Linked DNA regions of Daphnia pulex. The protein of the gene in region 1 purifies or fractionates together with the protein of each later gene. This does not show direct contact. Links are inferred from orthologs where the notes say so. Each region holds a gene or a part of one and is shown in the gene's direction. Other genes may lie near its edges.

Region 1 (3,420 bases):
CTTCCAAGTTGGCATATTATCTGATGTGGCTACTCCGAATTCGTTTCCAGGGAGATATTCTTTCCAAATCTTGATTGTTCGATCATCGCTGCATGTCGCCAATAGTTTTCCTGTAGAATCAAAAGCCAAGCTCCAAACCGTCGATTCGTGTGATTTCAATGTTGCAAAACAAATCCAGTCGTCGTCCTCTTCACAAAACATCTTGACTGTGTTGTCGTAACTAGCTGAGGCCACAATATCTTGATGTGGATGCCAGACAACTTTTTTTACGTCTTGTGTGTGAGCGCTCAAGACCGCAGCGCATTCGAATTCTCCATCTTCGCCAACCTCCCATATCCATACACTTTTGTCTCTGCTGCATGTTGCCAAAAAAGAGCCAGATGCTGACCAAGCAACGCACTTTACTTCATTCTCATGGCCCTCTAAAGTTGCCGTGCATTCATATTGATTGCCTTCCGTGCTAGTACTCTTGTCCCAAATGCAACAAGTACCGTCGAAACTTGCAGAAGCAATAAGCTTGTTACAGGGAGAAAAGGAAACGGATCGAATAGTGCGTTGGTGTCCATCCGACAAAATCGAACGACACACCCAGTCATTGGAATTGACATTCCTTCCCCAAAGCCGAATGGTTTTATCTTCACCACATGAAACCAAAATATTTCCTTCTTGATTCCATCCTACATTCCACACAATTCCTTGATGGCCTGGCAATTTGCAGAGCTCGTCTAGTCTTGCCATTACAAACACTATATTAAATGTATATGTGCTACCTGGAAAGAGATCAAAAATTTAATTATATTTAAGGGGAGCAAAGAAATGCATTCGTGCAGGTATTTTCGGAATTGGAAAATTTCTTCACAAGTTGATTAATTTACTGTTAGTGTTAGTCCACTTCACTTAACAATATGGATTTGTACACACATCACACAAAATGTGTGCCAACAAAATAACAACATGTAACTTAGTCAATCTAGTTTTGCAGTAAAAGATTATTACCAAAATATTTTTTGGGGGTGATCGAATTTGATCACGAATGCACGATGTGTTTCCTGGGACGATTCAAGTTACGGAGATAAGATACGCAATGCTTGCTCACGTCCACATTGGTAATGGTATGTGCTTCTGCTTCGACCCGCATGTCAGACGAAAATAATAATGAAACATTACGTTCTAATTACAACCACAAGATGGCATCTTTCTTTCTTCGTCTGCTTCGCCTTATGTTCACAAGTCACAACACATGTGCGCGTGAACTTGTCTAAAAAATAAAAAATTTGGTTTTGTTTATATTCGCAATAAAATCTGTTTGATTTTATTTACATTCAGATATAGTATTTTGTACTTAACAGATCAGAACAATGTCTGGGCGTCCGGAGCATCAAGCCCCACCAGAAATTGTAAGTTTGTCAGGATGTTTTCGTTTGATAAAATAATTTCTTTACATTGTGTAATTTTTTGTAGTTCTACGGTGAAGATGAAGCCCGTAAATACTCTCGAAAGTATGTACAACCTAAGTTAAATTTTTTCACTTATTACATGTTGTGTGTTTTATAATACAGTACACGCATGATGGAGATCCAACTTACTATGTCAGAAAGAGCAGTTGAATTGCTGTGTTTACCTGAAAACCAGCCTTGTCATCTACTTGATTTGGGTTGTGGATCAGGTCTCAGTGGTGAAACATTGACCGAACAGGGGCATATATGGACAGGAGTTGATATTTCATCTGCCATGTTGGGTATTCAACAATTTGTGTACTTTGCAAATGAAATCACTTATTTATTCAATTCTAAAAGGAGTGGCAAAGGAAAGGGAAGTCGAAGGTGATCTCTTATTGGGAGACTTGGGTCAAGGTCTACCCTTTCGTGCTGGTGCATTTGATGGTGCAATCAGCATCTCAGCCTTACAGTGGTTAGAATTTTTTAAAGTTAGATGTTTCAATAATTATTGTCTTATATTTCATTTAATTGACTGCAGGTTGTGTAACGCAGACCAAAGGTCACATAATCCTGCAAAGAGACTGTACATATTTTTCTCATCATTGTACAGTTGCTTGGTTAGTTATTTTGAGATAGTGTGCTAATTTATATCATTTTTAATATTAAGGAGTTTTTACAAAAATTTAGAGCCGAGGAAGCAGAGCAATTTTCCAATTCTACCCTGAAAATAGTTCTCAAGTGGAGCTCATCACGTCGCAAGCAATGAAGGCTGGTTTCACAGGAGGACTAGTTGTTGACTATCCCAATAGTACCAAGGCAAAAAAGTTTTTTCTCTGTCTAATGACCGGAGGACAACAACCATTGCCTGCCGCTTTGGGAGTAGATTCGCGCGAAGATGCTCCTAATCATGTTGCATTTTCACAGAAAAGGTTTTCTTGATCATAAAATGCTATAATGTTACCAATTTGAATGTGTGTTTGTGCGTTTGCAGGGATCGGGTTAAACAACTGCGCTCAGGAAAGGCCCCTAAAAAGAGTCGTGACTGGATTCTAGAGAAGAAAGAACGCAGAAGACGACAAGGAAAGGAAACGAGAGATGACTCTAAATTTACTGGTAGAAAGCGACCATCTCATGTGTGGTAAAGTGTTTGTATCTTGTTAAAGATTCGTGAATACAATAACTTCGCGTCATTTTCTCTTTAAAAAAGCTCCGGAAACGGAAAGCCTTCGAAAGTATCGAATATTTTGCTGTTGCGAAAAAAAAAATAACCCAAAAATCTTTAATCTATCTATCAATCCCGAAACAGGTAGTACAGTACAGAGTGGTAATAGAATAGGGAAAACTGATAAATTGGAAATGGCTGGAATGAATCTGGTTAATTTTATAAATTGGCCTTTAAATAACAATAAACCTGGTCTGCACGCTGAAAAATGCATACAATCGACACATTATATAATCAATCTTTGAAATCGATACTCGATAGCGATACTAAAAATGTTGTAAACATAAGTCGTCCTCTCAGTCTCAGCTCTCATTCAGCGACTTGCTATTCTAGACTCTAGTATTCTGCTGTGAAAGAATTTAAGTTACCTATACATAATTATTTTTTTTTAATTGCATGGTTTAAACTGGTTTAAACATGAACCGCGTATTCTCAGTCACATTAAATTGTTGCATTGCTCGTCGATTTGACTCGTTTAAACCACTTGTCATTGCACCTCAATTTGTAAGTCTGGCAACATCAAAATAATCAGTAAAATATTTTTTAGAATAAATATTGACAATTTGACATTGAACGAACGAACTTAGTAGGCTATCTATAATCTAATATCTTACTGTGTTTCTGTAAGATAGCTAGACTCTTCCATATCTTTTTCAACTGCTTACTTCATCTTGAACCTGTTTGTCCATTAGAAACTGTACAGCAGCAAGGTTCAGAAAAAGGAATCAAACATGGATGGCAATACAATATTGGCAAAAG
Region 2 (3,062 bases), on another chromosome or scaffold:
TTGTGAAGTGGTAAAAATGAGACAGCGCCATCTAGTGATAAGACGTTGACTTTCAAATAATACTTTCGGCGGCCATTTTTGTGTAATATGTGAATACGGCGGCCATCATCGTGTATTACGTGAATGAAGCCTAACCATAATTTCTGTAAAAATGGTTGGCAGGTGTGCTGTTCCTGGTTGTAAATCAACATATTTCAAAGGAAATCAAAAAGAAAACGAGGTTACCCTGGTTGCAATTCCTAAAACTTCATTATCTAAATGGCGAGAACTAATTCCATGTAGTTATTTGACGAGCACCTCACGTATTTGCTCCCGTCATTTTGACGAAAGTGACTTCAAATCAGGGATTTAAATTTTGAACGTGTTCCATCCTTTCAAACGTAGGAATCGTAATGCTGGAGCAATTCCCAAACATTTTCTGATAAATGGTATTGATATTACATTTCCTGTATAATCTGTAAAGCACAGAAACTGAACCATTTTCATTTTAGATACACCTAGTCGACAAGCAATGCAAAATGTTGATGGTTTCAAATGGAGAAATAACATTAATGGTATTTTTAAATATATTTATTTTGTTTAATATCAAATAACGCAATTCTTAAATATGTATTGTAGTGGAAACAAATGCTAGCAATGCATCAGTAAGGAAACGACCAAAAGTAGACAAAATACCTACTACGTCTAAGAGAAAAAAATTTGACAGTACAGGTATTGATAATAGTTCTCGTTACATTTTATTTTTAAGAGCAATTGCTTTAAATTTTATCTGATAGCACCCTCCATGGAAATTACCTCTACTATTAAAGAATCAATCAACATTCCCCAGGCTGCTGAAGAAGCAATTTTTGATCCACTTCCAGATTCAATCAAGGAAAATCTTGCTGTTGTCATGGAAGATACGACAGTTGCATCACCTTCTGTGGAAGCTACCTCTACTATTCAAGAATCAATGGACACCCACCAGGCTGCTGAAGAAGCAATTTTTGATCCACTTCCTGATGTTATGAACGAAAATGTTGCTGTTGTCATTGAAGATTCGACAGTTACATCACCTTCTATGGAAGCAAGCTCTACTAATTTCAAGTCTAATTTTGTGACATTTCAGTCACTAGTAACTTCATCAATGGTACCAAAGAATTGGACATGGTATTTTGATCAAATTAAACAAACGATTTTTTGCATTTCGATGGATCAACTACCAAATGAAAATTATAATGTGAAAAGTGTACACTTTCAAAACAAGAAGTAGTGTATTATGTCAACGGAACAATAAACAATTTACACAACCAAACAATAAAATGTAAGAATGTTTGGACACTTACAAAGAATAAACAATTTACGCAACCAAACAATAAAATGTAAGAATGTTGGGACACTTAGAAAAGACCTAGAGGTTTGACAGTTGGATACTTCTACCTTTTTATTTTGTTCACTTCTTGTAGAAAAGTAAGCTGTGATTGGTCAATGAGTTTTTCATAGACCCTTCCTGATTGGCTGGCTTCACGTAGTACCTGACACACTCACTAGAGGCGCTCATCATTTTTTCCAAATCGGACCACGTTTACCCTGAAACCGGGATAGGGAAGCCAACACGGCCGAGAACCGACCAGGTATCTATTGCTCTGGCTGGGGTGAAACCGTGAAAGCAAAAATGTAAACCCCGTCCGGCACGGCAGCGGTTTGTAGAAAATTTGTTTTGGAAAACACACGTGTGTTCGTCTGTCAAGAGCTCAATAATTTAACGAATTAAGAATGAAACTTTTAACTCACAATATATTGACTTCTAAATGTCTGAAAGGCGTAACAGTTGGGTATCCTCTAGGCATTGTTGTAAGTACTCTTTGATTAATCATTTTTTTTACCAAAATGAAATACTTTATATGTTTTACAGGCAAAAGAAGTTAAAGTGAATGAAGTTGATTTCAACCCAGAATTCATTTCACGGATGATTCAAAAAGTGGACTGGCCAGCTCTCTGTAAAGCTGCAGAAAATGTAAAAAGAAATCACGATTTGAATGCTACCCTTTAAAAACGGTTAAATATGTGTTGATTTTCTGTTTCTACATTATCTAGCTTGGACACACTGATGAACTTCCCCCAACTGTTGTAGATGACTATGAAAATAATGAAGAATTCTTGAAAAAAGCTCACCACTTTTTAATGGAGGTAATAATCTTCTTATTTTATTTATGTTCCATTTTTTTATTTACCATTTATTTAGATTGAAGTCATGAATGGAGATCTGATATGTCCTGAGACAGGGAGAAAATTCCCTGTTACTGATGGAATTCCAAACATGTTAGCTAATGAAGATGAAGTGTAACTGAAGTAGAAAATACAAGTCAATTCAACATGTGTCCAATTTTTTAAATAGTGCTTTATTTTCCATTCCAATTCACAGACTGATAATTTACTTTATCATTCTCATCCAAGCTACACATTAAAACAGTTTTCTTAACACTTGTTCCCAGACGACCTTTTTGTATCAGAAACCAAGGAGTCAACATCTGATGCTCTTCAACACACACAGCTATGAAATGTGAATGAAATTTTAATGGATCACCAGGATAAACCAAGTAATCACCACCAAATTTCTCACCAGATGTTATGTAATAACCTTTCTCCCACAAGTCACTGAACACTTTACACCTGAGAGTTGGTCTAACATTATAATCTAATGGCAATACTGATTCCCCCTGACATGTCCAGTGAGGCCCTACAACAAGAACAAAAAAGTAGATCATTCAAATGATCATTCATCACAACATTATTTATCTGATAAAGACTGATAATATTATTTCTTACTTGTAAAAATTTGAACCATCATCAAATCTTTAGACATTTTAGGAATTTTGTCTATTTCTTCTTGAAGGGCTATTTTCTCATCAACAGTCTTTCCATTCATTTTTCTTCTCTTGCCCTCAATGATTTTATCTGCCATTTGTAACAGCTGCTTGGTTCTTTCTTCCTTAAAGATAACTTCTTGGTCAGCAAAGCTTGCTTTGTGCATTTCCTCTATTTTCTCCTTGTTTGGTCCTTGAGCAGGAAGGTTTAGTTGT

Evidence for each region.
Region 2: the proteins of probable 18S rRNA (guanine-N(7))-methyltransferase (region 1) and multifunctional methyltransferase subunit TRM112-like protein purify together in Homo sapiens (affinity purification with mass spectrometry; 5 studies listed by BioGRID and IntAct, counting the BioPlex papers as one, with this or other methods). This does not show direct contact. The link is inferred for Daphnia pulex from reciprocal best matches to the Homo sapiens genes BUD23 and TRMT112.

The regions. Positions count from the first base shown.
Region 1 is NC_060028.1:9,638,660-9,642,079, forward strand, and holds probable 18S rRNA (guanine-N(7))-methyltransferase, read left to right. Parts: upstream 1-1,206; 5' UTR 1,207-1,358; coding exon 1,359-1,397; intron 1,398-1,461; coding exon 1,462-1,499; intron 1,500-1,559; coding exon 1,560-1,738; intron 1,739-1,796; coding exon 1,797-2,056; intron 2,057-2,126; coding exon 2,127-2,368; intron 2,369-2,430; coding exon 2,431-2,581; 3' UTR 2,582-2,629; downstream 2,630-3,420. Other genes in the region: 2-hydroxyacyl-CoA lyase 1-like, read left to right, coding at 3,079-3,165, 3,354-3,420.
Region 2 is NC_060017.1:6,066,605-6,069,666, forward strand, and holds multifunctional methyltransferase subunit TRM112-like protein, read left to right. Parts: upstream 1-1,672; 5' UTR 1,673-1,755; coding exon 1,756-1,833; intron 1,834-1,894; coding exon 1,895-1,996; intron 1,997-2,076; coding exon 2,077-2,169; intron 2,170-2,224; coding exon 2,225-2,326; 3' UTR 2,327-2,331; downstream 2,332-3,062. Other genes in the region: uncharacterized protein LOC124191043, read left to right, coding at 512-554, 619-711, 777-1,252; tRNA-splicing endonuclease subunit Sen34-like, read right to left, coding at 2,382-2,719, 2,809-3,062. UniProt on the Homo sapiens protein: Acts as an activator of both rRNA/tRNA and protein methyltransferases. Together with methyltransferase BUD23, methylates the N(7) position of a guanine in 18S rRNA.